4 linked regions of the Diceros bicornis minor genome follow. The protein of the gene in region 2 purifies or fractionates together with the protein of the main gene of each other region. This does not show direct contact. Links are inferred from orthologs where the notes say so. Each region holds a gene or a part of one and is shown on either strand. Other genes may lie near its edges.

The links.
Region 1: the proteins of SIN3A (region 2) and ARID4A purify together in Homo sapiens (affinity purification with western blotting; 6 studies listed by BioGRID and IntAct, with this or other methods). This does not show direct contact. The link is inferred for Diceros bicornis minor from reciprocal best matches to the Homo sapiens genes SIN3A and ARID4A.
Region 3: the proteins of SIN3A (region 2) and HDAC4 purify together in Homo sapiens (affinity purification with western blotting; 3 studies listed by BioGRID and IntAct, with this or other methods). This does not show direct contact. The link is inferred for Diceros bicornis minor from reciprocal best matches to the Homo sapiens genes SIN3A and HDAC4.
Region 4: the proteins of SIN3A (region 2) and BRMS1 purify together in Homo sapiens (affinity purification with western blotting; 4 studies listed by BioGRID and IntAct, with this or other methods). This does not show direct contact. The link is inferred for Diceros bicornis minor from reciprocal best matches to the Homo sapiens genes SIN3A and BRMS1.

The regions. Positions count from the first base shown.
Region 1 is NC_080763.1:8,175,440-8,183,193, reverse strand, and holds the start of ARID4A (AT-rich interactive domain-containing protein 4A), read right to left. Parts: upstream 3,215-7,754; 5' UTR 2,659-3,214; intron 1,647-2,658; 5' UTR 1,596-1,646; coding exon 1,590-1,595; intron 1-1,589.
Region 2 is NC_080744.1:68,207,119-68,214,643, forward strand, and holds the start of SIN3A (paired amphipathic helix protein Sin3a), read right to left. Parts: upstream 3,135-7,525; 5' UTR 2,899-3,134; intron 1-2,898. UniProt on the Homo sapiens protein: Acts as a transcriptional repressor. Corepressor for REST. Interacts with MXI1 to repress MYC responsive genes and antagonize MYC oncogenic activities. Also interacts with MXD1-MAX heterodimers to repress transcription by tethering SIN3A to DNA.
Region 3 is NC_080776.1:26,625,515-26,633,668, reverse strand, and holds the start of HDAC4 (histone deacetylase 4), read left to right. Parts: upstream 1-4,793; 5' UTR 4,794-5,078; intron 5,079-8,154. UniProt on the Homo sapiens protein: Responsible for the deacetylation of lysine residues on the N-terminal part of the core histones (H2A, H2B, H3 and H4).
Region 4 is NC_080770.1:7,002,510-7,010,613, reverse strand, and holds the start of BRMS1 (breast cancer metastasis-suppressor 1), read right to left. Parts: upstream 3,553-8,104; 5' UTR 3,484-3,552; intron 3,465-3,483; exon of another isoform or gene 3,444-3,464; intron 594-3,443; 5' UTR 587-593; coding exon 448-586; intron 377-447; coding exon 286-376; intron 128-285; coding exon 1-127. Other genes in the region: B4GAT1 (beta-1,4-glucuronyltransferase 1), read right to left, coding at 4,546-4,737, 4,971-6,026. UniProt on the Homo sapiens protein: Transcriptional repressor. Down-regulates transcription activation by NF-kappa-B by promoting the deacetylation of RELA at 'Lys-310'. Promotes HDAC1 binding to promoter regions.

The sequences.
Region 1 (7,754 bases), on a different chromosome or scaffold from region 2:
GTTGTAACTGGAAGATATCAGTAGGGAAATATGTTTTTTCATCCAGATACAAAATGTTTCAATAATTCTACAATTTATTTAAGAAATGAAAAGATAAGAAAAAACAGAAAAAGTTATATTCATATTAAGTTCTCATAAAACTTTAAGTTATTTAATTATGGCTTCTCAAAAATTTTCTTTTGGAATTAAAAGAAATATTGCTATTAAAATTAACACTAACAATACATAATTAAATGTTTATTAATATAGCTACATAAAGGCAACATCTTTTTGGATACAGTATAACAGTACAGATAAGAAATGAAGCCAATCCTTTTGAAAAGGAGAGCATTATTTGGAAAAATCATTGGCTAAAAGCTGTATTTTAAAGGTTTAAGTCTAAATTCAGCGGATAAATACAGAGATATGAACTGACGGCTCAAGACTTGTAGCTATACCCAGATTATTACATTAATCTTCTTGGTATATATTTTAAAAAATAAGCTTTACTAAGAAACATCTAAACATCTAAAACATCCGTTTTAGCAAACGGCCATGATCAGAATGATACATTAAAAGATAGGAGAAATTTTGTCCTACCACTCATTTTAATCTTGACAGTAACAGAATGATTGCTATCTCAGTCTGTTGTTTTACCCATTTTTTTCAAAAGTTAAGTGTATTCAAATAAGCTTGATTTCACACTGCTAAATGCAAAGGCAACAGTGTACACTTTAGAAAGTAGAAAATGATTTTTCATTTTCCACTAAGGTTTCCTAAGTAACATTAAAGAAGGTTACATGTGTCACTTCAGGGAGATAGGAGAACAAGAGAAAGTTTGGGAAAATGCTATATTTCAGAGCTTAATACATTGAAATTTACTAATTAGTAAGGAATTAACTACCTTTTAAAGTCAGTGCATTTACAAATAATGCAAATTGAAAAATCCCTTTGACTGACCTGAAACATTCAATGCCACAGCACTACAGAATGCTGTACTTTCCTTTTCCTTCAACCATCTCACAGGATCTTTGCAATATTAGCTGTCTTCACAAGAATATGTATTTTTTTAAGTTGCATATGTCTAAAAATATCTACCATAACAAGTTAACAAAAACTAAGTATTAATACTTAGTTTTAGTTTAACTTCAAGTATTTTAGCCACATAATTTCATTTTATCCCCAAAAGAAATTATATCTCCCTTACACAATCCACATATTCCTTCCTTAGAAAATCGCACTGGCACTGAGAAAGAAAAAAAAAATTCAAAAAATCCCCCAAAGAACCAAAGCAGGACAAAAGCTTTACTTCTGCAAAGGTTGCTGCCAACACAGGAAGTGTTTAAAAATACTAGCCCAATGGACAACAATGGAAAGGCTGCACTCGCCTTTCCCAAGTGCTAACTGCTTAGAGAGGGGCCGAACTGACAGCCTTTAGACACCATGATCATTTCTCACCCATTCAACGCGTCCTCATTTTCAGAAAGCGCTGCTTAGCAGAGGAATCAATTTTGAGTCGCAAAAAAAAAAAAAATGACATTCCACAGCACCAGCCTCACGACAGGCAGTGTCCAGGGCACGAGGCTCAGAGCGGCGACGACTCCACTTACCTTCATTTTTACGGGTGATCTGTGGGGTTCCAGCTCAGCGAGCTTTCTTCTCCGTCGCTAGAACCACGGGGAGGGGAGAGACAGGCACAGAATCAGTCAACAGAGGGGAGCGACCGGGGAAAGAAAGTAAACAAACGCCGGCGGGGAGGGGCAGAAGCCTCCCGAGCGGAGGGCTCCGATCCCTCGGAGGGCGGCCAGGACGCAGGAGCCGCGGGGACAGCGGGCGCCCCGCGGGCGCCAGAGGGCTGCCGCGCCGGCCCGGAGCTCGCCAGCGGCCCCCGCGCCCCCGCCCGCTCGCCGCTCGGACCCGAACGCTCCACTCAGAGCCCAGGACAGAGGGCTCTGGAAGGGGGCCGGGCGCGCCGGGGCTCCCCCGACCTGGCCCGCGCCCCGCCTCCGCGCTCGGCCCCTCGGCCCGCCCCAGGCCCGCGGTGGCGGCAGCAGTGTCACGGCGCCATTGCTCTCCCTCCTCCGCGCTGCACCGTGTCAGGAAGGAGAAGCGCGTTTCCCCGGGGGCAGGGGCCGCGGCCTGCGGCGGGCGGCGGGGGCGCGAGGGGAGCCCCGCGGGGCGGGGGGCGGGGAGGAGGAGGGGAGGCGGCCGGACAGGGTGTGGGAGGGGAGGGGAGGGGAGCCGCACAGCGGCAGCCGCCGCCTCCTCCCGCGCCCGCCTCAACTTTTTGTACAGCCCGTAGCGGAACGAGCCCCCAGCCTCCGGGGTCCTGCCGCGGACTCTGCAGCCGAGGACGCGCCGCGGAGTTGGGGGCCGGCTCCTGCAGGCTGCCCGCTCCTCCCCGCGCGGAAGCAAACTTAGCGGCGCGGCCAGCCCCACAGCCATTTTCCCGGGGAACCCGGGAAGCAAGCGGCCGAGGCGGCGGCTGCGGTGGCGGCTCCTGCAGTTGCTGCCGCTGCCCCACGACTTGCCCCTTCCCCTGCGCTCGCCGCGCCCCTGGCCTCGCACTCCCTCCTCGCCTCCAGAGCCTCCAACCGCGCCGGGACCCCGGGCAGCAGCACCAGCTGCTACTACCGCCTTGTCCATTCAGGGTCCCCCGCCTCCCTTCTCCCCACCTACCAACTGCGGGCGAAGTGCGCGCTGTCAGCTCCCGACTTCTCCGCTTCACTGACCCCCGTGGGCCCCCGTCTGGGCAGCACCACTCCCGGCCGCGGCGGCAGTTCCTGCGCCCGGTTCCCCACTCGCCCGATTTACTGCCACAATCCACCAAATAACAAGCTGTTGAGCAGACTCGCTTCTACACGAACTCCCATTGGCTGCTCATGACGCCGAACAGCTTCGGATTGGAGCTCGCTACCTGCCGTCCTCATTGGATGTAGCTCTGAAACTTCCCGGATTGGTGCGAAAAACAGCAGGTAGGACATCTTCCACTTATGATTGGCTGTGTTCGAAGGCTAACGTTACTGGAGACTCTGGTATTGAGTAAGCAAGTCCTGAGAGATGATTGGTAGAGACGACTCCGGATGTGCTTGACTGAGCACTGATTGGTACGTGGAGGGGTCAGGAAGAGCAGTTCGGCACGAGGATTGGCGGTGAAGTGTCCCATGGAAACCGAACCCGGAGCTGCGGCCAGAACTTGCACGGGGGCGGGGCAGGATCTCTCCAAGGCGCCTGCGCTAAACTGGCTTCTCGGCGCCATTTTGTCTGGGCAGCGGTGGCCGCAGCTCTAGCGCATTTTATGTTTCTGGCAAGATGAGAGCGGCGTCTTCGTCCCGTAGCTTCATCTTAGCGCGGCACCCATTCAGCGTTCCCTGCAGGACAGCACCTGGGGAAGGTCGGAGGAGCCGCGGACCTTTCAGAAGGTCAGTTGGAAGCTCTGGTTGTCCGAGGGACTGGGGGATGGCGCAGCTCTGGCGGCGCCGGCACCGGAAGTGGAGGGGCCGCGCGGCAGCCATGGGCAGAGGCTTCTCGGGGCGGCGGGGCGGGGATGGGGGCCGGGCTGAAGGGGGCGAGGCCTCCGCTCCCGCCGCCAGAGGGAAGGAGGTGGAGGGACGCGCACGTCTCTCTCCGGGCCCATGCTTTGGGCTCCTGTCGAGGGAGTGAGAGATGTCTTGGATTGTGCTCCTCTCCGAGCAGTTCCTCCGCCCTTCGGAAGCGGGCTTGGGAGCCTGTCCGGTTCTCCGGCCGAGGGCCTCGGGCTGTGGCGCCTCCTTCCCGCGGACGGGGAGGCCGGGTTCTGAGTCGGTCGCCCTGCGTGGGGGCGTGTCCGCGTGCCGCTCGCGCGGCGGGGTCAGAGAAGCGGCGGAGCGCCCTGGGTGCCCGGCCCGAGGCCCGCGCGCTGCTGCCCTGACCTCAGACTGTGCGCAAACACTCCAGATAAAAGGACCGCCCGGGAGGACTTGGCTCTGGGCGGCCATTGGTGGTGTGCTGTTAGTCAAGTCTTGTGTTCTGTTAAATACAACAAAAACACGTTGGAAATGGTGGAACAGGGGCATTAACTGGCGAGTTGTTTTAAAGAATGAAATAATTAAGAAAACGTAAAATATTGTGGATAATCCACATTGACTAAATTTACTCAATAAGAACATCTTAATTAAAGCCGAATGAGTTTTTCATTAATCACAGTGATGTTTCTCAAAATTACTTATTAAGAAAGTGAACCGTATGTTGGTATTTCTGTTGAGTGACCTGATCACATTGATCTTGATAGCTGCTTAAAATTATCCTTGTAATACCTCTGTTTGAACCCTGTTGCTCTGTTGGTGGGGCTCCAGGCTGGAAAATGGATGAGTGATTTAATAATTTATGGGGTTTTTGTTTTTGGCAGTTGGTTTGAAGAAAACAGGACCTCTCCGTGACAAATATCCCCACGTATTACTGAGGTGAGTTCTAATATCTGTAAAAATCTTTAGAATTGGGAAAACTGTCTGGAAAAGTTTTTTGTGGACCAGTAAAGTAGAGCCATAAATAGCAGAATGGAAGAATGATAGTTGAAAGGTGTTTTTTTTCGTCAAGGGTTCACTTGAGTGTGTATAATTAGCTTCCTGATGTGATGTTTTAGAATGAAATCACAAAATTAGGACATACTTATGAATTGGCTTACCCATTCATGAAGGTCCCATTTCTGACTTTTTAAGTACTTAGTATTTTTATTACGGCATAAAATGAACATTTTTGTGATTTTTTTCCTCCATATTTAAAAAGTTGGTGTAGGGCCGGCCCCGTGGCTTAGCGGTTAAGTGCGCGTGCTCCGCTGCTGGTGGCCCGGGTTCGGATCCCGGGCGCACACCGACACTCTGCTTCTCCGGCCATGCTGAGGCCGCGTCCCACATACAGCAGCTAGAAGAATGTGCAGCTATGACATAGAACTATCTACTGGGGCTTTGGGGAGAAAATAAATAAATAAAATCTTTAAAAAGTTGGTGTATAGAAAAGATATTTCAGTAAGAGTTTGCAAGTGAAGCGATTTTTTTTTTTCTTAAGGAAATTATAAAACAGTATAATGCTGCTGAACTTTCCAGGGGGTAATCACCTATAATTCCACTGCCCAACTTAAATTGGTATTATCTGATCCAGATAATGCATGTCAGTGGACATTTGGAAATTACTAATACTTACATATTATGCAGAGGAGTTTCTCTTTTTTGTTGGTTTTGTTTTACAAAATAAAGGTCATTCTAGTCGTGCTCATTTTGTCACTCATGTTTTTTACTTTGTGGAGAACACTGGGAACATGGGAAATATTTTGTCCTTCAAGCGTTTTTCATAGGTGTGTAACGTTCTGTAGGATAGGTGTACCATAATTTATATAACCTGTTGTCTTAATTTTTCTGTAATAGCAACAACATGTCTAAATATCCTGCATGTTGTACAAAGGATTTTGCCTAAGAACTGACATCTGTGGCTAAAATTTCTAGGCATCTAGATCTTCCTTCACATCCCTGATTATTTCTTTTGAATAAATTCCCAGAAGTGGAAATAAAAGGCCAAAGGGATTGTACATTTAAGGTTTTTGATCCTTGCACAGGTGTCCATCAGAAAGCTTTTGCTCTTACCACACTTACATTTTTTGTTCTTTTTTCTTTTATCACCCCACCCCACCCCTGTTTTCTATTTTTTCTTTAGCTTTATTTTATTTTAGCTTTATCTTTCTTCTGGGTCTCTGTTTATTCAAGTGGAATTATCACAGCTTTTTAGTCACACATATAGTAAAATAAATTTGGAAATTTTTCTGGGACCTTTGGAGTGATTTTTTAAAACTAATTTTTCATTCTAGAATAGTTAGGCATTTATACAGTGAAACCTTTTGCTACACAGAAGTGACATTGAGAGGAAACTAAAAACAAATTGTTTTTATGGTAGAGTTACTTGAGTTTAACTATTGTATGTTTCCCTGTAACTTTCCTTAAAGTTTTCCATCCTTAAGTGCGTTCTCTTGGTGCCTTTTTACCCTCACAAGACCCTCTGCATGCCTCTCTCATCACACTTACTCTGCAGTTGTTTGGCTCTTCCCCAGCTTGAGACCCTACTCCCAGGGGCAGCAGCTGAGGTTTTAATCACTGTTGTGTGTCCCTGCCTGATACATGATGGGTGTTCTGTCAGTATTTCTTATGAATCTGTAGGTGCTTTTGTATACAAAATATGTGAAATAAGCTAACTTAAGTTTTCTTTAACAGTAATTCTCTTCTGAGAATTTACGATGTTCCACAGATGCTCTTAACCTTGAAAACTTTTTTAATTTGTAATTGCTAATATAATGTGCATTTAGAGAACCCATAAGAATAGTTATGCAAGATTTTTTTTCCTCAATTCTTTTAAGGTGTTTATGATATTTTAATGGAAGGAGACTGTAAATCAGTATTAACTGAACAGTCACTAGACCATCTCCTAGATATAAATGGAAGAAAATTATGGTAGAATTGTTTTTTGTAACCTATTTCAGTGACCCCAAACTAATAGAATAATGTTTTCTACAAAATCAAAAGTGTCAAATTTTTAGTAATGTTTCTGTGATGAAAGGCTTTTTTTTTTTTTTTTTTTGGTGAGGAAGAGTACCTCTGAGCTAACATCTGTTCCCAGTCCTCCTCTTTTTGCTGAGGAAGATTGGCCCTGGGCAAACATCCGTGCCCGTCTTCCTCTACTTCATATGTGGGATGGCTGCCACAGCATGGCTTGATAGGCGGTGTGTAAGTCCACGCCCGGGATCCAAACCTGCAAACCCTATGCTGCCAAAGCGGAGTACACGAACTTAACCACTATGCCACCGGGCTGGCCCCAGTAGAAGGCTATTTTGAAAGCAGAATGTTTTGCTTATTTGGTCGAGGGTTCAAATGAGGCTTTATAATTAGTTTCCTGACGTGATATTTTAGAAATCTCAAAATTAGAACATCCCTATGGATTTGTTTACCGTTCATATGGTTCCCATATCTGAATTTTTAATCACAGAACACTATAAACATTTTCATGATTTCTTTTTACCCATGGTAAAGTACTTGACATAGATCTCATCAGTAAAAGTGTTGAGAAGTGAAGCAGTTTTTTTTTTAAAGGAATTATAAACCAGTCTGTGTTCTGAGTGTGTGGGCTATAGCATACTCAAAACTGAAAGAAATCTTTGTCTTCTAGAGTAAGCCTCATTTTGTGGAAAAATGAAGGAAGGTGTTCCACTTTTAAAAGACCTGGATCTGCTATCTGTTGAAAATTCTGTTTCTGGTATGTCATTTTACTTAACTCTTCTTTGGTAATCAAGATTGTCCATGTTATTATTACATATATCTCATTTGAAAAATGATAGAATTTGTTTCATTGTATAGCTATTTCTGTAAATGTCTGTGTTGAGAAGTGGAACAGATTGCTATGTTGAGTGTAGCTGCTGTCCTAATGATTTAATTATTTTTTTTGGAAACGTACATAATTTGCTTATTTGTAACCAAAGCAGTCTTCGCAATCTCTGTATGGTCATTTGTCCTCTTAGATGTCACTGCAGCTTTTATGGCCACATATAGTTACAGATATTGGTTTTCTTTCATATATAATTTGAACAAGAATGACAGCATATTATAGGATTTGGATTCAAGCTGATCCTAGGTTACCTAGTGGCATTCCTATATGGCAAGGATCTGGGCTCAAGGAGCCTACTGTCAGTAAAAGGAAGAACATAATTAAACATGTGGAAAGTTAATATAATAGTTATTTCAAAAGATTCAATCGATTTA
Region 2 (7,525 bases):
GAGTACAGAATTAAGGGCTGGAGACTAAAGCCGAGAAATAGCCCCAAGAGTTGCGAGCTCGCAGCTCCGGGTAGCTGCACACTCCTAACACCGACACTCCCTAAACCTGAATATGCAGTCCTAAGAAGGCGGAGATAACCAAAATGAAGGCAGAGCCTAACAGCCACCGCCTTGGCAAACCTCCTGAAGGCGGAGCGTGAGGCTTAAGGCACTCCCGATCTCCAGGGTAGATTTGGAGGCATCCTCAGACTCGAAAAATTGAGGAAGGAGACCAAACAGGCCACAGCATAAAGGAACCTTCACCCCACACTTCAGAGAAAGGATAAAAGGTCCAGAGTTACAGACAAAAGATAATAAGAACGGCTGGTCACTTCCTCCTTGGCCAACGAGTGTTAATGGCAGTACCTAGGCCCTCTCTGTGTAGGTAATAGTGCCTCGAACACAAGAGACAAAGTGCTTGCAACACCTAGGTTGCTTTTATTTATTCACCAAATAGGGCAAAGAACTGACTCTGGCCTTGCTTTGGGGGGCGCTCACAGAGCGCCAGGAGAGGAGGGGGCGGGGCCAGAGTTTTCCCGCTCTCTCTAGCAAAAAGGCTACTCCCCCAAGAGAGGCTAGAGTCAGTCCCCAAGTGGCAGGCCCCCCGCAACCGACTCCTAGCTCCTGTCTTGTCCTCCTTCCACAACCCAGCGGAGACGGCAAGAATCGAGCGCTGGCAACAGGTGGGCCTGACTCCAAGGATGGCTTCCAGCCGCAAGGAAAAGGCAGCGAACTGTGAACTCCATGAGTAGCTGACAGATGGGAGCAGTCTCGCCGGGAGCCAAGCCCTGCCCCAGAACGGAGCTCTAAAAATAAGTCACACAGACCGAAGCGACCCCTCGGCCAAACCTGTAGGAAGTTACGAAGAAGCGGCACTTACGCAGAAATGACCTAGGGCTACCTTTAACTTGGGCTGTCCCCCGCTCCCTGGACTGGGTGCCACACGGTGCTCCTACCTGGACATCAAGAACCACTTCGAACTCAAGTAGGATTGGGCCGCCCCGACTTCTCGGTCAACAGGGGATGAGCTACCCCGGATCTTGCCTAAGGCATCCAGGCCAATCCTAGGTTGCTCAGAGTTTTAGATAAAGCCAAGTAAGGACTGCGGCTGCCTTGCGCTGGGAAGAAAACACACTGTCAGCGTCGGCAGCGTTCTCAAGCTTAAGCTCAGGGTGGTCTCCTGGAAGTCGAGAGGCGCAGGAATAGTCCGAACTTTAGTACTTGGCCCGGAAGGACAGATCGCACCTCCTCCTCCCAACCTCTGCAGAACCCCCGGAGCTAAGCCCCCCAAATCCACTCCACACCGTCACCCTTACACTTCATCACAAAGACTACCAGGTCGCGAGCTTGGAGGAATCATTGTGTGCCTTCTCGGTTCTCCCTTCCCCCCTCCCCCCGCCAAGGGCTCCGAACCGGGGACTTCCGGGCGGGAGGACAGTTCGAAGGAGCAAGGCGGGCCTCACACATGTGCGGAGCGCGCACACAAGCGAGGGGAGGGGGCGGGGAACAGGGCTGGACTTCCCTCTCCAAGCTCGCTCCGCCGGAGCAGGCGGGACTATCCATCTCACCAACCAGAAGTGGGGGCGGGACCTTGCGCCACACGTAGGCCGCAAGAATCCTCCTCCGCCCTTCACTGAAAAAAATCCTAGCAACTTAAACTCCAGCCCGGTCTCCGATAGGCGGAGCTCGGGAGAATGTCACCCAATCGATAAGCGAGAAGGAAAAAAGGGAGTCTCGTCCAGCCAGTGGAAGACAAGAGAAGGCGGGCTCTCTGGAGGAGCCCGAGGTGGGTGGAAGAGACAAGACAAGGCCCCGCCCCTCGGCCCCGCTCGGGGCTGGTTGCACAAGCCGCCGCCGGAGTCGATAGTAAATAGGCTAGGCCAAGGAATGGAAGCTGGGGCAACCCGGCGCTCTGTGGGCCGGGGCCCCTGCGCCTCCTCTCCCGGCGCGCCCCGCCCAACCCCGGCGGTTCACGCCGGCGCCCCGCCTCCCAGCCCGCGGCCGCCATCCCGGCTGACAGGCGCGCCCCCCCGCGCCCCTCCCCGCCCGCTGATGCATTTCCTTTTCCCGATTCTGAGCGTGAAGACTGTTTTCCCAGTTTCCGACCTTCACTGCCCCTTTCAGGCAACCCCTCGTGGGCGCGCACACACGCCCGCGCCCCCGTCCCCGCCCCATCCGCGGGCGAGCGGCACGACCGGGGGGTGCGGCGGGGACCCGCCGCCGCCGCCGCCTTAGGGTGGGCGGGGAAGGAGGGAGCTCCATGTTTGCAAGGGGATCAGCTGGGGCCGCGGGTCGAAGCCGCCGAGTTCCTGGAGGTTTTTCCACATCCCCGGGCCGAGTTCCGCGCGGGTTCGCGGCCTGGTGGGTTCCGGGACCGAATGCTGGCTCTACTGCCACGGCTCGGGAGTTTGAAGAGCCCAGACCGGCGCGCGGGGCGAGTGCCGAGGCGCGGGGGGCTCTTTCCGGTGTCCTCCCCCACCCCCAGCAGCACCTCCCGCGAGTCCAGCGTTGCCCCCGCCCCCAGAGTCCATAACAACCGCGGGCCCACCGCCCCCTCCGACAAGTTTGCGGACAGAAACAAAACCCTCGCGGCGACTGCCGCCCTCGCCCAGCGTGGTTAGCGGGGAAAGCCGCGGGCCTCGGCTCGCTAGCTAACTCCAGCTCTCGACCAACTCCGGGCGCCGCGGGCTCAGGCCGCCGCCCCCTGCCGAGCCCGCGCGCCGCAGCCCGGGCCCAGTTCCAGTCGGTGTACGGAATCTCTCCTTTTTTCTTCTTTACAATAATTTTTTTTTAGGCATTCCAGGAGCGGGGAGGATCTCCTCCTGCCCGCCCCTTACCCAGTCCGCCGCCGAAACCTACCGAAACTGACTGCTCGGTGAAATAAACTAGGCAGCACTGCCAGCGCACTGGCGACCCCGGGCCGGGCCGACCCCCTCCCCACGGATCGGGCCCGGCTTGGAAACACACACTGCCGGGCGGGCGGCGCCAAGAGCTCTCTTTCCTGGCCTGCCCCTCGCCTCCCTCGGCTGCCGGACTCCGAGCCTCCCCTAGCTCCGAACCGGGGCCTTCGGCGCCCGCACCGTGGCGGACTGGCCAAAACGACCGGCCGGCGAACTAGCCCCCCAAACGCCCGAGATTGGGGAGACCAAATGAAAAGCAGCTGTTTAACATACCTTCCGAGGCAGGCGAGGAGTCCTGAATGGGGGGGAACGCCCCCCATGGGCCATTGGCTCCCCGGCGCTCGCGTCAGTCACCCTGGGCCCGCCTCCTCCCCTCGCTCCACCTCTTCCCCTTCATTGAACGCCCCCTACCTCCAAAAATATATAAATAAATAAATAAAACTAGCCGCGAGTGGGAGGCCCATCCATGGCAGAGGCTTCTGTCTCTCCGGCACCGCCGCCTCGAGTTTCTTGAGACCCTTGGGAGATCCGCAGGGTGTACCCAGAGGAGGAGCTAGCGGGGCTACTCGGCCACCACTTCCTTCACATACACACCCCATTTGGAGCCGGGCAGAGGGAGGCGGGTACGGACACCCTAGCGACCGGCTGGAATGTCCCGATTCCCCTGGCTGTGTAACCGAACCGTTTCTGGCCCATTCTGTTAAGGCGCCTGCCTAAAAATGAGCAGCGTAAGCGGGAAGTCCTGCGTTCAGGGCAACAGGCACTTGTCTGAGCATCTAATGTGGGTGAGGCAGACACATTCATACCGCACCTGCTGCTGGGTACGATTACAGAGACTGGATGAAATGCTCTGTACCCTCCAAGGGCTCCACACCTAGCTGAGGGTATGCTACAGAAAGAGCTAAGGCAAGGCAGGAATGTATATATAAATACACATCCATAGAAGCTCAGAGAAGGGAGATTCTTTCTAGCTGAGGAAAACTGGGAGTCTTCATGGAAGAGGCAGCACTCAAGTTGGGTCTTCAAGATTTCATCAGGCAGAAATGGAGGGGCAAGTCATTTTCAGCAAAGGGCACAAAGGGGTAAATGCAAAACATTGTTAAGGACCTTCAAGTGTGGCTGTAGTAATGAAAATCAGGGTTGGAAGGATGGAACAAAACGGCAGAAGACTTTAATAACTGGTTAAAATTCTTAGACTTGCACAACACAACGTGCAAGCAGCATGGTCACAGGACCACAAGCCCAGAACTATGGTTTAAGATACTCAATATCCCAGCAGCTGGATGGGCTCTGAGAGTAGGTTGAGTGAGGAGTCACTACAGGAAGCAAGGTGAGGCACAAAGGTTGTTGTAATACTTGGTTTGGAAACCTCAGAGGTACACCTTCTGGTAGGAGGGGTAGGTGGGGGGGACCCGAGAGAAGGCTTCTTTTCTCTTTCCCAGCCACCCAACCCAGAAAGCCTTCCCTACCTTCAGCAGCCCTCAAGTCAAAGATCTGCCTCAGATTGTTCCCAGAATCATTTGCAGTGTTTGTCATAACTTTCAACCAAAAAGAGTTTCTGGGAGGCAAAGGCTACTCCACATGTCTGCGCTCAACAGAGCTGAGCCTGGGGCCAGGGCACACAATGAGTGAGCAAGCAAGACCTGTTGATTGAGGCATCCGGGAAAGGAAGTTAGTGTGGATCAGGTGGGATATGCAGAATGTGAAGGGTCTTAAGAGTCCTGTGGGCAGAATGGGGGCCTGTGCCAGTTAATCAGTCCCAACAATTCAGGTGAGATGTCATGAGGACTTGACCAGGGCAGTGGCAATGGGTAAGCAAGAATAAAAAAGGAGAGGTGTTTAAGAAAGACTCAAGGGGACTGGGTGACTGATTCAGTGTGAGTAATGGAGGGAAAGGAGTCAGTGGCCTGGTATGTGAAGAGGCAGAAGAGTGTGAGGCTGGTGGTTGGGTGATCTGGGTTCTAGACATAGCATGGCCAGTGACTGGTATATCCTTAGGCAAGTCCCTTCCTCCCTCTGGGGCTGTTCCCCCCCACCTCACCCCCGGCTGGAAATTGGAGTACAAAGACAGGCTCTAAGGACCCTTCCTTCTCTCACTCAAGAGTCCCTGGGGGTGAGGGGTCTGATGAGGAGGGAAGCTTGCCTCTAAGGAGAGGGCAGACTGGAAGAAATACTGATTTGCAAGGGCAGCAGATCATCCCAGGTGGAGTGGGGACTAGAATTTGGGCAGTAGCTTGGTTGATGGAATCACTGAGGGGAAGGGTGTAGAGGGGGAAAGGCCAGGAGATGAGGACTGTGTATTCAGTGGGAGGCCCAACACCTGACAGGGCCATAGAGGTTGAGGTTCATTCTCAGACTGGGGGCTCCCTAGAGTGAGGACCAAGTTTTTCTACATCAGATCAGAGATCCCTCGATGTCTGGAGCCCCATCTCAGATTCCTGCTCTATTTCCCAAGAGGTTCTGCCCTAGATGAAGGCATAACACATGCTGTGAACGTGAGATGAGGCAGAGTGGTAGACCAGAAAGAATATTAGTCTGTAAGCTGAGTCCCACCTAATCTCTTTTCTGTGGATCAGCCTCCTGTCTTGTACAAGAGGATAACATAGCAATCTTTGCCCTGTTATGAAGATCAAATGTGATAAAATGTGCTTTAATATACCTAGTTAGGTTCTGAGCTTCTGTGGAGGCCAAAGGCCCAAGCATTTGAGTGTAAGCCTGGACAGCGGTATACTGTGGATGAAGTTCCTTTAAGGAGCATTTGCAACTAGAATAGTTACTCCCACTCAGAGACCCAGACTTTTTTGACACTTCCTACCCTCCTGAGTGCACCACGCTGGTGGAAATCCCCTCCTGAACACCCCCTAGACTGAGCTCCTAGAGCATAGCCACTCTATCTAATTTCACCTCTGAGCCCCCAGTGCCCACAGCAGTCAGGCATAAGAGGCCCCTTGGAAGGGGTCCAGTGATTGTTTCTGACTCAGTACATTGATGCCTGCATAGCACAGCCAGTCCCAGACTCTTTGGGAAAGTGAGTATTTGATTTGGCAGCATTGGCCCTCCAGCTGCACTGAAGGTTGCATCCACCCGACCTCTTCCCTACTGTCTATCAGTGAGGACGGAACAGTGAACGGATCTGGGTGAGAGCTTCCTTGGAAAAGTCACATTGGGAAGCCAAGTTCTGATTCCCAGGAGGCCTCTTTTGTGTGAGTTAGGGATTATTATCCTGTTTGTAGTTGAGCAAACTGAGGCTCAGAGCAGTACAATGACTTGCCCAAGTCAAGCAGCCATGGCAATTCTGGGCCCAAAGCCTGAGCTTTGTCTATGCCCCCATGTGCTATCTATCTCTATACACACTAGGGTACCATGGTCCAGGTTGGGGCTTCTGGATAAAAACAGCCTCCCCTCCTGCTCCACCCTCCCTACTTCCCTAACTCCAAGAGCAGTTTGTCCCCAAATAGTTCTAAATGATTTCTGGCCCTTTCCAAAAAAAATTATCCTCAAAGACGCAAGATTTGTCTCCCAACCACATATATACATGCCTCCTCAACTCACAACACATATACAGTACTCAAAACTCTCACACCTTCTGACACGCTCTCTCACAGGCATCACACACACATATACCCCCTCATTCACAAAAAGGACTCATTCATAGTTCTTGAGGGTGCTTATGGGTTGTGATTGACATTTAGGGCCTGCCTTTCAGTGACTCTGCCAAAAAGATGTCAGCGTCAGTGCTAGTGCCCTGCTGACAGAACCTCTGCCAGCTATAGAAGACCATTGTCAGCTTGGGAATATCCAGATGAGGGGCATCTGAGACTTGCTCCCACCCCCAACCCAAAGTACCCTACGGCTTCAAGGGGAAAACTCAAGCTATTGTTCAGAATCCCAGTTTAGTTGCTTCCTAGCTGGACGTCTTTGGCAAGTCACTTATCTTTCCAATTTCCTTATCCGTAAACTAAGAATAAGAATACCTACGTGATGGGGCAAGCCCCGTGGCATAGCGGTTAACTGCGCGTGCTCCACTGCTGGTGGCCCGGGGTTTGGATCCGGGGCGCGCACTGATACATCGCTCGTCAAGCCATGCTGTGGCGGCATCCCATATAAAGTGGAGGAAGATGGGCACAGATGTTAGCCCAGGGTCAGTCTTCCTCAGCAAAAAAAAAAAAAAAAAAAGAATACCTACATGAGTGTGGTAAAAATAAACTATGCCTAGCATTTAGTCAAGACTTCTCAGAACTTTTTCTCCTTTATCTTGTTGCTATACCCTTGTCTCCTGGCCATTCAGATGTGAAGTTTCCGGTGCTGCAGTCTAAGAGCCCAGGACAGGCCTAAAGGACCCAATGATCCCACTGTGTGAAGAAACTATTTCTCTGACAACCAGCTGGCTTAGGTTGTACATATTCTGTATTTCTGATTTCTGGGCGGCTTTGGAGGCTTGGAATTTTTTAGTGGGTTTTAAGACTGCTACTCACTGCCTTGAAATGTCTTCCCCTCACTGAGCATTAATTTACCCCTCTGGGTCACTTCCAGTCCAAATCTAGAAAACAGATATAACAATATGTTCTCCAATTTACCTGGCTCTA
Region 3 (8,154 bases), on a different chromosome or scaffold from region 2:
GCACAGCTCTTAAATTCATTGAATTTTGGTAAGTGTTTTCCCCTGTGTGATCTCCACCCCAATTAAGACGTGTGCCATCTCCATTAACTCAGGAAGTTCTCTGGTGCTGGGGTTCCCAGTCAATCCTCTGCCTGCCCCCTACCCTCAGAGAGAAGCAGGCTTCTGATGTCTGCCCCCATAGATTCTTTAGGCTGGGTCCTGAATTCCACATGAACAGAGTCGTACGGTATATACTTCTTTGTATCAGACTTCTTTTATGACGTTTTTGACGTCCATGCACCTCTATCAGTAGTTCATTCTTTTTTATTTCTGAGTAATATTCCTTTGTATGAATATGCCACAATTGGGATTTATTTCCCTGCTGATTGTACCCAAAACTTTAATTGTAACATAGTCAAATATATCAATATTTCCCCTTACAATTGTTGATGGTATTTGGATATTCCATAACTCTATGGAAGGTCCACTAACAGTTTTTTCTTAGTACTTTTATGGCTTTTATGTTTTTAACACATCTTTCCTCCATCTGACGCAGTAGGAATCCAACTTTATTCTTTTCCCTCCAAATGATTAGCAGGTGCCCTCCCACATGGTTTTCTCACTGATTTGAAAAGCTACCTTGATTGTACGTTAAATCCTTACAGGGGTGATGTTCAAAATAGTTACCAATTGGTATGGTGCAGGCACTGACCAGCCTGTAAGGATGCCCACCCAGAGCAGCTGGGACAGACGAGTCACATACTGGCTGGATATCGGCAGGAGTTCTTGTGTTTGCTGGGGGCTGTTTCTTTACTTTCTGTTATTTTCCATCGCTCTGGGCCAGTCCACGTTGTTTTCATTCTGGAGCCCAGATATGTTTTGTTTTCTCTCTCATCACTCTTGTTTCTGACTGTTCTCAAATGTTTATTCTTCCAGATGAACTATTCCACCATTTTGTCAATTCCCATGAAGTTCCATCAGAATTTAACGTTACATTTAGGTATTTAAAATGTTCTTTTGCTAATGTGATGGGGAATTTTCCATCGAGTTTTTCTAATGCATATAAAGTGTTTAGCACAATGCCTGTCCCATAGCGAGTGCTCAATAATGTAAGCATTTATAAGTACTGAATATTGTTAGCATGTCTGAAAGTTCTTGTTTTTTCTATATATTTACTTTATAATTGGCCACCTTGCTGAAGTTCTAATTCTAGGGTTGTTTTTTTTTTTAATTTGAGTCTTTGGGGCTGTCTTTATTTCTGATCAAAGGATTTGTTTTCTTCTGTTAACAATGGGATTCGTTTTCTTTCTAAAGCAAAGCGTTGCAGACTCTTCTATAAAATGCCCTTGTATGAGCCCCATCTGGACGTTCCCTGGTGTTTGGGCTGTGCCTGACCATGCCGCTCATGCTCAGCTCCAGCGTTAGAGACCTTCCTTCCACCGTGCAGAACTCTATTGTACTGAGCTCTTCCGACAGGCTGTGGACAGATCTCCTTCAGCCAGACAGCCCCTTCAGAGACCTAAAGACACACACAGCCACACACACTTTCAAGTCCTTCTTCTCCAAAAAAAGGAAAGTGTGATTCTTCTGCATGCTGGCCCGACAGTTACCAGGTGCCTCGCTTCCTGAAGCGCTCTCAGGACTGCAGGTGAGGCCTAACTGCCACACAGCGATGGGACCATTCATTCTTCTGAATGCAATTCTACCTTTTAGTGAATCCCACCGAGGATATCCCAGAACTCTTTCATGTCACTTTTTCTTCACTTGTAAAATTAATTTTACTAGACCTATATGCAGCATTTTCCCTGCATTTCTCTTGATTATTGAACACTTTAAATAACCCTGTTCCTTAATTTTTATCATTTAAATGTGACTCAGTCACTGATCCTGTTTCACCTTATACGAAAATTGATGAGGGTACCACTTCCATCATCAGCCAGGTCACTAGTGGTAATTTTCTTCAGCTGTGTCTTTTGTTTTAAAATTCTGCAATTCACTATTCATTTGCTTCAAAGTTAAGCTTAGGACAGGCATTTCTACCCACAACGCCTACGGTTTTCTTTTTTGTCACTGCCGTTGAGTCAATTCTGACTCCTAGCGACTCTCTGGACAGCCAAGCTCAACTCTGCCCCGTCTTTCTGAGCCAGGCTCTTACTTTCCAGAGCTCTATCAGACAATGCTCCACTGCTATTCATAGCGTTCTCATGGCCAATTTTTTTCAGAAATGGGTAGCTAGGTCGTTCTTCCTAGTCTGTCTTAGTCTGGAAGCTCCACTGAAACCTGCCCACCAAGTGTGAGCCTGCTGATAGTTGAAATACCGGTGGCATAGCTTTCAGCATCACAGCAACATGCAGCCACTACAGTATGACAACCGACAGACAGGTGGTGTGGTTCCACGATTGGGAAACAAACCCAGACGGAGGGAGGGAGAGCACCAGATCTTAACCACTAGACCACCACAAAGTTTTCTAATCATTACTTATTTTTTCAAGATATTTAACATATTACAAAACTGTGCATTTTCATTTTGAAAATTGTATTTTTATCCACATAGCTACATTTTTTCCTCCAAAAGTCACTGATCAAGAACGACAGTACAACTAATCTCTGCTCATTTCTAGAAGGAAAGGCCCTCAAAGTAAGCAATCACACACATCTGCCAACATCCCACAGCCTGACTTTATCACCGATACTCCCGCAGGCTTCAGCTCTGTTTGCCTCTGGGATTATTCTAAGATTGATAAGTAAACTGAGCTACTTTCTGATTTTCTTTTAAGTTTTGGAGAGTTGAAAGAAAAAAATTCAAAAATTCCACATTACAAAACAAATAAAAGGACATAAAACCACAAAGGAGCGATTTTCATTAAAACAGAAATACTGTTTCTTTTCCCCCTGGAAAAAGCATCTGGGCCATAACACTAAGTTAACAAGCGATGAAGATTTATCAGCGTCTTTTTTCCTTGATGTGAGAATGAGTATTGAGGGTGTCAGTGAGGGAGGGTGTCTCCCTCCTTTAATCCAGCAGGTAATTTCAGATAACCTTGTCACCTCTGGCAATTTCTCCATCGATTTTTCTTCTTCTTTCATGACCAAGTTCTCAAGATAGGTAATACTCCTGTTCCCTCTGACATCCCTGTATATCTTCGTATGTAGTTCAGTGTAATTCTGTCTCCTGGTTCTTGTTACCAAAGCCTGAGAAATAAGGACATTTTGGTATTTGAGGAAAAAAACAATCCCTTGGATGCAGTTCTTAAATGATCTACCTGATTCTGCTTTCTAGAAAAGATGCTGCTTTAGTTAAGCACCAACATATTTAACAGACTTTGGTTATTAAGATCTCAAGCTTTCTGAGCAGTGTTCACCATTTTTGGTTGTGAAACATGCTGAGAGGTTTCAAAGTATCCTGCATGATATAAGGTTTCATGGAAGCAAATTAATTGTAGATCTCTTTTAATTTAAACTATAGATTCCATATAGCACTTTATGAAAGGAAGTGTTTTATCAACAAAACAACGATGAAACGCTGCAATTTGAATACCATTGTTTTAGTCTTTCCTTCCATCGAGACTGGATCCGCCAAGAACTGCCAACAGGTGTATTCCCATGCAGGTCTGAGCACGCAGGACAGGCTATCATCAGCAGCATTTAGTTTCTGGAGGGCACCCGTGGGAATCACGAACCCTGTGGCTCCCATGCACGGGCACACTTTGTCTCACTTGGTGAACACACGGGATTCTGAAAAACACTATGGGCACGGAGGCTGAAAAGTTGTCACTCTTCTGCGGGACACATGGGGTCCTTTAGCGCGGCGCAGACCACCCCACCGGCAGCCTCAAAAGGCTGGGCACTCGGGCCAGCAAGGACCTCGGAGCACCAAGGACCCAGGTGAAATCACAGGGCGAGCCCATCACCTCCTCCGCCCAACCCTGGATTCGCAGCCCCGGCAGCCACGGCGGCCTCGCCTCAGGCGGCCCAGGACCATTCCCATCAGCGCAGGCGCGCTGGTTCCGTCCCACGCCCCCTCGCCCCGGAGGCCGCGTTCCCGCCGCGGGGCAGGGCGGGGCCCAAGAGCCTGCGCACTCGTCCTCCGCACGGCCCCTGCGTCTCCGGGCGCACGCAGCATCACGTGACCGCTGCCAGTACCCAAGATGGAGGCCGCAGCCAGGCCTGACCGGCTTCCCGCTTCAGCCCGCGCCGCGGCGTGCGCCCGCCAGGCACGCGGTCCTGAGCCCTAGGGTGGTGGGGGGCAGCTCTTCGAGGGCGGTCGAGGGGCACTTGCCAGGGCCAAAGGCCGTATTTACAATCACTACTCGCTCGAGCTCCCCGTGCTTTCTCAACCGCGAAGCGCCCAGTGGCTGGCGCCTTGAGCGTCGTTTAGTACCCCCGCCCTGGGGATTGGCAGCTTCGGCAGCCAATGGGGCCCAAGACATGTGCGGGTAGGCGGGCGGGGGTGGAGCATCCTTGCCGTCCGTAGAGCGTCCGGTCTGGCGGTTGGCCGCCGCGGGACGAGGGGCGGGAGCAGACGGGGCTGTACCTGGTGTCCCAGAAGACCAATGGGAGGACGGCCGGGCGCCCGGGGAGGGCGGGCGGCGGGCGGGGCCGAGCCGTAATTGACGACTTCTTCATTAGAAACCAGGCAGGAGGGAGGGGCTCGCGAGGGGAGGTGATGCAAGGCCACCGCAGCCAATGGCTGCAGCGCCGCTGGAGGGAGGGCGGGGCCGGCGCGGCTGACGGGCGTCGCGGGTGGCCTATCAGCGCCCGGCTCGGTGGTGGCGGGGGGGAGCAGCATCATGGTTCAACGTGGGTCAATTTTTTGTGAATGAGGAGGGGAGGTTGTGGGGCCGCCGCCGCGGAGCACCGTCCCCGCCGCCGCCCGCGCCCGAGCCCGCGCGCCCGCCCGCCGCCCGCCCGCCCGCGCCGCCGCCTCAGCCGCCTGGGCCCGGCGCGCCGCGGCCGCGTCCCCGCTGTCGCCGCCGCCCGAGCGCCCGCCGCCCGCCCGCCGCCGGGGTGGTGGTGGTGGCGGCGCAGGCTGAGGAGATGCGGCTCGGAGCGCCCGCGCGGGGCTAGAGCGCCCGCCGCCGCCGCCGCCCGCCGCCGCGGTAAGCGCAGCCCCGGCCCGGCCGCGGGCCATTGTCCGCCCCCCTCCGCCCGCCGCAGGCCGCCGCTCCACGCCCCCCGCCCGCAGCCGCCCGGCCCCGGCAGGTGGACGCCCGGCTCCGCGCCCCCGGCCCGGCCCGTGCGCCCAGGCCGCGCGCGCCCAGCGCTGGGGCTCTCCGGAGCGGGAGCCGAGCCCGCCTGGACCTCCCCTGCAGCCCAGACAGAACGAGGGCCGCCGCCAGGCGGGGGGCGCACGCCGCCCCGCGCCCGCCGTCCAGGCCGAGCCCTCGGCAGGTGGGCCGGGGGCCCCGGAGCCCGCCGCGCCGTTTATGTAACTTTGTCACGCCTGTGAGTTTGCAGAAAAACGTCCCTCCCGGGCCCGCGGCGTGGGGTGCGCCGTCCGCCGGCGGGTGCGCCCCCGGCCCGTCGCGGGAGGGGTGGGGTCTGTCCACGACCCGGAGGGGGTCCCCGCAGGATCTCCACGGGCCGAGACGTGGCTCCGTCCTGCCCGGAGGATGGGAGCGGCGTTTCCCGGCATTGCAAACACACACCACGGCATTATAAGCAAATTATCTCGTATTTACATTGAACGTTGAATTATTTGACACTGTTATAGCAGGAGACTGTGCGTATCAGTCGGAAAGGCCGGGGGTGGAACCCAGTGTACTCATTTAATGCACATCAAAAATTTGTAATAACTTGCAGCCGCTGATATGAGTGTTTTCTTTATTGCATGTTGTAAATTGACCTGCTGTGACACAATTTTCAAATAAAGCGTGGCAGAAATTAAACTTAAGTTATTTTAAAACTAATGACTTTCTTAACTAAATCCTAATTGCATTACTGTAGAGACCTATGTAATTGCTTGCTGAGAGCAGCTCTGCCTGCCCTCAGTGGGGGAGGACCGGGCCTGTTACTTTGCTTCCCCGCGTTACTCCGGCTTTTTTGTTTATTCCCACAAACCATCTAAGCATGGAAGGCCTGGGAGTAAACATGTAAACAGCCCTCGCCCAGCGCCTGCCCAGCAGGATTGAGGGAATACTGGTGGGTTTGCTCCTTGGCCTGGTTTCACTTTTTCTTTTGTAATACGATCATGGTTGCCTGGAGTTTTAATTGCTTCTGATAATTCGGTGCATTATTTGAGAGACCGTCCTGTGAAAGCTGGTGTGGTGGCTTCAGAATCTAGCCACGAGAGGTGGTGGTGGTGATTGGGGAGAGCGAGAGAGATTGAATTAAGAAAACTCAGCTGCTTGTACACAAATATACTCTACAGCAATTACAAAGCAACAAAAGTTATTGCAGAATTTTGCAGTAACTATGGCAACACAATTACTCTATTATAATTGGGAATGCAAAATGCCACCCTGTTAGAAGTTTCATCAGGATGGAATTTTGGATATCAAAAAGATGTGAGATTTAATTTTTTTTCAGGTAGCTCCTGAGAATTCTACAATCTGTGTTCCATTATCTATTTTTAATTCTGATCAAGCTTTCCCAGATATTCCACTCCCTGGGATCTGTGGCATCTTTCCCCAGAACTCACATTTGTGTGGGAGGGAAGTATTTTCCTGCCTTAAAAACACACACCCTGACACATTGTAAGACTTCTCTAGCTTTCTGTCTTCTGGACTTTTATTTTAAAGATCAAATACCTTCCTAAAGAGAGCAGTAATCAATCAGAAAAGAAGCAGGATTTTTGCGGCAGGCAGATGTAACACTGCCCTCTTTAGGGTTAGTTCTTTCTCCTGCAAGGGGAGCTGGCAGCATGAGTGCCCCTGGGGGAGCCCTGGGGCCGGGGTGGGGGCTGGGGGATGGATGACTGTGGTCTGCACGGAGGCCTGGAAGGCCTAGGGACCAAGGACAGATGTGGCCTAAGCAGCCCTGAGCCAAGAGAGAATGTTCTGTGGTCAGCAGCTTCGCAGCCATGCAAAATAAAAATCTCCAAATGTTGTGCTCTCAGAGGCCTTGGGGGCTGTAACTGTAGCAAGATGGACAGAACAACATGGCACCGTGGCCATGTGCAGCTGGAGCGGCAGATCTTGACTTTCAGTAGTCAGAAACCTGCTTTATACGGATGGCCCTCTTGATGTTTACCAGGAGGACTCGAGTTCTGGAAGTTTCCACACATCGTGGGGTTGCTGCAGTTTAATTTCATTATAACTCTTTCTTTTTAACTACTGCATATTTATGCCCAGTAATCGACTTCCATTTTCCAGCTTCATTGTGAGGTTTCAATGCTGCATGAATGGCTTTGAATTCTCATCCTTTGATGTTGGGGGTGGCACCAGAGGAAAGGGACTTTGTGCCGTCTTAACTGCTGGAGCAGAAGAAACATGTCATGACTCCTGTAGAATTCGTCCATACCATTCGTTCTCTATTGAAAACGGCTGGGCTTTCATGGCTCAGAAGCTGCTATGAGTAATAGATTAATACCTGATGTAGGGAGTGAGGGAGAGGCAGCGAATGAGAGGGGATACATGCCTGTCCAGCCTCCGTGGAAGCTTCGGATTTTGCCCTCGTTCTGCAGCCTGAGAAGCTGGGCCTGAGCTCCTGCTGTTCCAGCCGGAGGGCGAGTCCCTCCCCGTTGGTTGCAGCCCCCTCCTTGGGCCTGGGGTGGAGGGCAGGGGTCGAGTTTGGAGGGGGTTTTGTTTCAGTCTCAGATGGTCAGCATATGCTGTGGTGTGCAGTGGGCTCAGGGCTCTTGGCTTTGACCTTAGAGGAAGGTACAGCATCTTCTGGTTGGAGTCAATCTGCATTTTAACAGACCTTAGCAACCTATGCTTACAGGGCGTTTCTTTTGGGGAAAAAATGTAACTGAACCAAGATCAATGAGTTCTCTTCATAAGGTCCCTTTTCTTCTTTTGGGCTTATGTGAGTGAGGAGAAGGGGTGGGTGGGGCCTGTTTAGGGTACAAGGTGGGCTGTGGCATCTGCAGCTGTTCTTGGCCTCTCCGCTGCCTTTTCTGATGCGCCTCCTACTCGCTTCCTGGAAGGAAGGTCCAGGGCCCTACACAGGTTGCCTCCGCTACGACCCTTCATGTAACCGTGGGGACAGAGCAGCATCTGCATCACTGGCGTG
Region 4 (8,104 bases), on a different chromosome or scaffold from region 2:
TGCCACCTGAATGCGAATCTTGAGGCTCCGCTGCAGCCCCCCCAGGGGCTCCGTGTACTCGGGCGCTCTCTCGGCCCCCACTTCCTCCAGCCGCACCCGCAGCTGACTCAGTCGCTCCCTGAACAACCTGGAGGTAAGACGGCCACGCACCCATGTGCTCCTCCATCACGCATGTGCCGGGTGCCCTCATTCCCTCGGGGCCTCAGCCGCCCCTGCCCAGCACCAGGCCCGCCACCTCCTCACCCCAGGTGCCTGAAGACCCAGCCCTGGGTGTCCCACGCTCACTTCTCCTTCAGCTCCGAGAACTGCTTCTCCAGGTCCAGCATCTCGTTGACACACTCGCTGCGGCGCCGCTCGTAGTCCTCGTCGTCCATCTCTGGGACAAGAGGCCAGTCAGCGCCAGCTGAGCAGGAGCGGCGGGCACGCGTGTGTGCGTGTGGGGCTCACCTGAGCTCTCCTCCTCTGACTCGGTCTGGCTGCCACTCCGTTCCTCCTCACTCTCTTCCTCTTCCCCATTCATCTCGGCGGCTGAGTCGCCCTCTGCTTCCATCTCCTCTGTGTCTTTGCTTGGAGGCTGGACGGGCATCTGGGCTCTGCGAGGAGTGGAGCCATCACTCACAGCCCGCAGCTCCGAGCAGGAAAGCGGCCACGTGGGGAGTCAAACCAAGCCTGACCACAGACAGGGACAGCTGGGGAAGTGACTGGACGCACCACACCCTGAGCACATGATGGGTGGGGAGGCTGCAAGCGGCCCTGTCTGCACATCTTCCAGAAGTGTGGGAGCCACAGAAACGCCCAGGCCCTTGGCCACTGTTAGTGATCCCAGTCCTGGGAATACTGGCCAAGGTGATGCTTCATAAGATGGAAAAGGCCAAGGGGGGCTCCCCACTGCCTTTGGGACTGGGGCTTTCAAAGCCCTGCAAAGACTAGACTTGGACTACTGGTCCAGCTCCTCACCCCACCATCTAATGGCCAGTTCTCACATACACCATGCACTTCCTCCCCCCTTCTCGTGCTCCACACCCTCCACTTCCCTTCCTGAGAACACTCGACAATCTTCCTGTCTTCTCACTGGGCTCTGGGTCAAATCCCATCTCCTTCTGCTTCCTGTGGGATCTCATGTCATTTCTTCCGTATCTTCAATTCTCCCTCTCGCCAGCTCCTTCCTATGACACTGTGGACACGCTCAGGGATTGTCCACCATTTAGAAAAAGCAGCAACACAAAACCTCACCCCATTCCACTGAACTGCTCCCCGCTGTCTGCCTCTCATCTACACTTTCAAGGCCTTGTGCACCCTTGCTAGTCCTACTCTTTCACCTCTAGCTTGTTCCAGTCCATTTCAGTACCATCGCTTGGCTGAAACTACTCCTGTAGAGTTAACCAAGGACCTCTTTGTACCTAGTGCCATTTTTCAGTGCTTATCTTAGTTGACTTTGCAGCAACACTAAACACTGCTAAGCAGTCTTTCTTTTATTCACTCATCTACTATTTTTTTTTTTTTTTGTGAGGAAGATCAGCCCTGAGCTAACATCCATGCTAATCCTCCTCTTTTTGCTGAGGAAGACCAGCCCTGAGCTAACATCTATTGCCAATCCTCCTCCTTTTTTTCCCCCAAAGCTCCAGTAGATAGTTGTATGTTGTAGTTACACATCCTTCTAGTTGCTGTATGTGGGACGTGGCCTCAGCATGGTCGGAGAAGCAGCGCGTCGGTGCGCACCCAGGATCCGAACCTGGGCCGCCAGTAGCAGAGCGCGCACACTTAACTGCTAAGCCACGGGGCCGGCCCTCACTCATCTACTATTTACTAAAAAATCTAATATATGTTAGGTACCATCAGACACTATGGTAGTACTGGGCACAATTGTGACAGACAGACAGACAGTCTCTGACCTCAAGGAGTTTACAAGTTCCTGGGAGAGAGAGGCAAAGAAACAGACCATTATTGTGGTGTGAGAAGAGCTGAGACTGGAGGCAGATGGGAGAGGCATCTAACAGAAACCTGGAGCTTGCCGCAGCAGTGAGGGCTTGCAGAGGAAGGTGTGCCAGACCGAGGAGCTGAGCTGGTTGAGGGAAGGAACATTCCAAGTACAGTGAGTAGCATATAATGAGAGAAGGAGCAGAGCTGGGGTCACGTGGATCTAAGCCTCAGAGAGAAATCTGGGCTCAGAAATCTGGTCATCAGCATCTAGCGAGTTTTTCAGGTCTTGAGGGAGGGTGAAATCAGCAAGGCAGAATGTGTGGAGCGAGAAGAGGCCCATGATGGAACTCCCAGGGTCACCAAACAGACAGATGATGCAACCTCTACAAAGGAGAAGGAAATTAGCAAGAGGTGGAGGAAGAGAAACTCAAAGTTATGGGGAGAGAGAATTTCAGAAGGATGGAGCAGTGACAGGGCCAAATGTTACCAAGAGATCACCTGAGAGGAAGACTCAACAGTCCTCTCAACAGATAATCTCCGCTTGCTGGGGGCTTCTATTTCACTGTGATGTTTTCCCAAACTCTCTGGGCCCTGCTTTGTAGTCCTTTAGATCACTGTAGACAACACTCCCTCCAGGAAGCTTTATCTGCTTACATCACCTCTCTATTTGTCCATTCTCATGCCTGTCTCCCCAGCCATTCTGTAAGCCTCACCAGGGCAGGGCTGCACATGCGCCGTATTCACCTAACACAGTACTGACTCACTTGGTAACTGGTGGATTTGCAAATACAAATTAAACAAAACAAACTTTTGCGGGGCAGGGATTGGCTTTTACTTCTTGGTAGCGTCAGGCCCCTGTAGTGGTAGCAAACCCAATATTCTGTTAACTTTCCCGGAGGCCAATTCGAGTTGTGTAAATAACTAGCCTAGAGGGCAGCTTAGTCACATTCCTCAATGATTTCACAAACGATCTGAACCTGACCTGAAAACCTGGGTTCACCAAACCAGCCTTATCTTTCCCGTTCTCAAGCCTCAGTTCTTGCAGTTCCCAAATTTCGCAATCCCTCTTAACCGTTAAATATATTTACTCTGTAAGACGCGACTTAAGTCCTACCTTTCGGGACCAGAAAGGGCGGCGGAGGGAGGGAGTCTCTCCAGCTGTCGCTGATTCTACTCAGTGAACTAAAGTAAATCACACACACACACACACACCTCGGGTGCAAAAAAAGGACAAGCACTGCTACTCTAAGTGTTGTAAAGATCGCAAAGGGTAAGAGATGGAAAAGCAAACTGTAAGGCGCCGTGCACATGCAATTTATCTTTTCAGAAAGTAACCATTTCGAGGGCAGGCCTCCATGTAAGGCAGATTCTTCCCCACCTTCGAAGAGGCCAACAGCCCCTCCGCGGGGCGCCGAAGCCTCCCGCCACTGGCTCTTCCGCAGCCAGCTGCGGCTCCCCAAGCATCCAGCCGGTTAAGTCTCCCCTTCGGCCCTGGAGATTGGGCCGGCTCCGAACCGACTGACCGAAGAGGCGAAACCAGGGACCAGGGGTGGCGATACGCACCGCGGAGAGTGGGTCCTCTGGCTTCACGTCCGCGACTCCCAAAGAGGACCCCGAAACTACGGGTATTGGCCGCCGGACTCCCGGAAGCGCTGCGCCGGCGCTCTTCTCCGGGAGGCGGGGCTTGTCTGCGCTTCCGTATGCATCATCAGGAGGCGCCCGTCGGAGAGCTCATAATTGGACAGCTCGGGGCAAGGCATGCTGGGATACTGCGGGCCGGTCTCCATAGCAACCGGCCGAAATGCACAGAGGTCTTCAGCCGGCGGGAAAGGCCCTTGTGGTTTCCTTGCTTTGCAGCCGTCGCCCCTTGGTCCGCGGCCATCTCCCACCCCCGGCGTGAAAGGGGCGAACCCGGGACCTCCCCGCCCGCCCGGTACAGGAGAGTAATGGAGCCAGCTGTAGATGTGAACACTCATTTATTTACACATTGTCACTGGCAGGCAAATAACTCAGCCCAGCCTATTCGAGGGTTAGAGATCGCGGACTACCACACACACAACCTGCAGACCCTTCCCTTCTCCAGAGTCCCCGAGGACGGAAGGCTGGGAGAACCAGGAAGTTTAGGCTACTGCCCAAAACCTAAGAACTAAATTCAACGCCTTCCTCTGATTTCTTTCCAAAAAGTCCATGTTGTTAAGTACTCAGACTTCTAGCTCTGTCCCATGCATACTTTTTGCTCTCCTACTACCCACCCACCCAAGACTGTTAATAATAATAATACTGTAATAATATTAATAATACTTTACATTTGTACGAAGCTTACAGAATGTTTTCACATATAGCATCTCATCTGAGCCTCCCAACAGTTCTGTGAGGTAGATATTCTCACCTCCCTTTTTACAGACGGGGTAACTGAGGCTCAGAGAGGGAACAGGATTTGCTCAAGGCCACACAGCTAGTTAGTGGTAAAGCTAGGATTTGATCCCAGCACCCCATATTCAAGTCCAGTGTTCTAACACCACAGCTACCACTGCAAAGTGGAGTGAAATTTCTCACCCCTGTCAGGCCTGAGGGGTGGCCTAAGGAGGGAGGAGGCTGACTTCTCAGACTAGGAGAGGGAAGGGCTCAGCAGTGACGTGGGGAGTCAGGGTACTTCGCCTTTAACTCCTGTTTGAACTGGCGGTAAAGGATCTTATTGTGCTGATTTTCGGCTTCCTTTTGGGGATGGAACTTCAAGGCTTCTTTGAAGCCCTTATGAACCAGGAAACCTTCGTTCAGCACCTCGAAATCAAATCCTGCCACGTGCAGCTCACAGGCCTGTGGGGGGAGAGACAGGTCAGCAAGTTTGTTGACATTCCTTCAGCTGAGGCTAACATCCCTAAAGCAGCACACCAGCATCCCCACTACTCTGGAGGCATCCTGGATCTTCCACACCATCCAACCACGTCCTGAACTATGATCCCTCCTGCCTCGTTGCCTCCTTTCCATTCAGGGCCACTCATAGCTCCCTGAACCCACCACCCTTCCTGCCCCATTTCCCCTCTGAGCACCTGGCTGATGCGATTGAAGCCGTACTGCCGAAAGCGCTCGTCGAAGGTGGGCACCTTGCCTCCAGCCACGTAGAATGGCTCCCAGGGGTCCTGCCAGGGCACTACGTAGGCAGGCCTCAGCAAGGTCTCTTCTGGCAGGTTGACCCAGCGGGAGTAGTTGGTGGGCGCCTGGCAGGGCGTGCACAGCCCGTAATAGAAGGGCCGCACCTCGCCCACCTGGTAGAGCTGCAGCAGCTCATTCTTGTTCGTGGGCATGCGGCGGGCTCGGCGGATCTCGAAGGCAGGCACCACCAGCGCTGTGCCCGCCCACTGCTTGCTCTGATCCAGCATTTCCCGCAGGCCTCTCCACAGCCCCTCGCTGGGCACCATGTCCACATCGATTACCAGGGCATAGTTGGCCCCCTCACGAGCCAGATTCCTCAGCAGGTTATTGGGGTAGGAGACATTGGTGCCCAACGCATAATTGATCCCGGGCTGGGCCACCCTGGCTAGCTTGTCAAAGACTTCCTGGCAGGACCGCAACAGGGCAAACTCCCCCGGCTCCCTGGGGTCGGGCACCGCGGCCTCATAGCGCGAGGGGCACACGAGGTGCATGGCGACCCTGGCGCGCATGTCGGGGCAGTGGCTGCTCAGCGCATAGGTCAGCACCGTGGCCAGCTGCGCCTCCTCTTTGGTGGCCGCGAACACCGACACGGATAGCGGGCCCTCCCAGCGCTCCAACAGGCCGGACAGGTGCAGCAGGTTGTCCACGCTGGCGTGCGTGGCCAGGATCACATCGTTGGGGTCCATGGTGGTCTTCAGTAGGCCCCTGTAGACGCGGTAGTCGCCGCTGGCGTCCAGGACGCCTCCGGAGGCCAGCGCGGTGCGGAGCTGCGCCTTGACCTGGTCCACGGACCGCGGGGATGGGGGGAAGAACTCGAAATACTGGTCTTGCTCCTCCTGCCCGTGTAGCCCGGACAGCAGCGACAGGTAGAGCAGCTGCAGCATCGCCACCAACATTAGCGCGGCCAGCAGCAGCTGGTAGAAGGCGCACCGAATGGCGTAGGACATCTGCATGGCTCTCGGGGCGCAGGGCGCGCAGCAGGGACCACCGGGCCGCAGGCTCCGCCGGCAGCCGCAAGCCCGGATTTACCGCAGCCTACCGAGCGCGGCCGAAGCGAGCCGAGGCGAGCCGAGCCCCGCGCGCAGCCCCGCCCGCCCGCGCCGGCCTCCAGGCGCGCCAGCTCGCCCCCTGCACGCGAGGAGGAGCCACTGCACTCGCCGCCCGCGCCGCGCGCTTTGCAAACTCTGAAACTCCCCGCGGCCGCGCCGCCGCGCCTGCCAGCTTCCCAGAGACACATAGCCCCTCTCTCCCGATCACTGCGCGACCCCCTGAACCAAGCGCGTCCTGAAACCCCGGCGAGCTCGCCCCCGGCTCAGGGAGGGGAAACCTTGCCAGAGCTCGGCTGCGGCTTGGAGAATGATGGCGCGGGTTCCCGGCTGCGGCGGGTGGAAGGGAACACAAAAAGCCGTTTTCTTTCTGCCGTCTCCCCCTTCTAGGTCCTACGAAGTCCGCTCTGAGGAATGGATGCAGGGGGTCCCGGAAGGTGCGGAGGAGATGAGAGATAAGGGAATGTGGAAAGGGGTGCTGGACGTGGGACGAGGTGGCCGAGTGGTTAAGGCGATGGACTGCTAATCCATTGTGCTTTGCACGCGTGGGTTCGAATCCCATCCTCGTCGGTCGTGTTTTACGCGGGAGACCATTCTTAATTTTCCACATGCCGCTTCTCTGGAGCAGCAGGTTAAAGAGCACGGAATTGAGGATGGGACGCAGTTCGGCGCAGCCCGGGCCTCTCTCCCCTTTGTTCGTCGTACATCTCTGGCCACTTCGTACTTCAGGTGTCTGAACCTTCTGGGCGAAGGTCGGAAGTGTGCTTTTCTTTCTCCAGAAGAGGGCCAAGGGTTGGGTGGCACCTAGAAGACCACAACCAAAATTCTGGCCAATGCCTAATTGGGGGCCAATATATTAACTGCAGGAATTAGAAACGCCCCCTGAAGGTGCTGCCCTCCCTATCTGAAGTAGTGGAACTTGGGGGGAGGGGTGTTTGATCGTTTAAATTATTTCTCTGTTCAGCCCACTGATTCCCCTCCCCGCAGCCCTTCTCCCAGGGCGGAGACCTTGTATCCACGCACCTCCCTCCCCAACACACGCACTTAAGCAGAAGGCCTTGAATATTCTCACACCAGCCAGCGTACACAGAAGGCGCTTAATAAGTGTGGAATAAACGATCTAAGGACTCTTTAGAAGAGCAGAGGCTGTGGGGAAAGGCAGGTTCTTTGACTGCTAAATCAATTACTATATGTAATACATAATTTTTTGAGCCCTGTGAATCTTGGAAAGGTGCTTTGGGACAGACTGAGGAGGGCTCGCATGCCAGGGTAAGGGGTTTGACCGCTATTCCACAGGCAGTAGGGAGCCAGGGTTGTTGAGTTGAGAAGTGACCAGGAGACCTATATTCTGCAGCCCTGAATAATAATACCTGCTCTGCAGCAGAGGCTGTGTTAGGCACCGGGCGTGGGGCCTTGCAGGGGACAAGGGTACTGTCCTTGAAGGTTTTCACTGGTGACTTGTGCCAGGAGAGAGGAGAAAGGTATGTGTGGATCCCATCATAAGGATCAGGGAGGCTCAGAAGCAGATTTGGTGCCACAGGGGTTTTCTTTGACCTGCTTAGTGTTTAGAAATAACAATTTGAATCACGTCAGTTGTTAACTTTGGGGAATCAGGAGATTTCACATATAATTCACATTTCCAACTTCTGTTTTAAATTCTGGAAGATCTGGCAATGCCAGGCTTGCATTCCCACAGGGTGACAATTGGCCAGAGCATAAAAGTGTTTCTCCCTTTGCAAACAGTCCTCCCTTTGCCAAAGTCTCAACCCTGCGCCTTCCTGTCGGGGCTTTAAACATTTGTGTTTCATCTGCAGTGCTCACACAGTACCCATTTACTACCTCCATTGAAGATTTCCCTGGGCGTCTGCCCACATTGCCCCCCCTGGCCACTGCAATGCAAGCCACACAGCAGGCATCAAGACGTGTTTGTTGAATGAGTAAATAAGAAGCTTCTGAAGTGTCCCCAGGGGCCCTAGTCTAAGGGG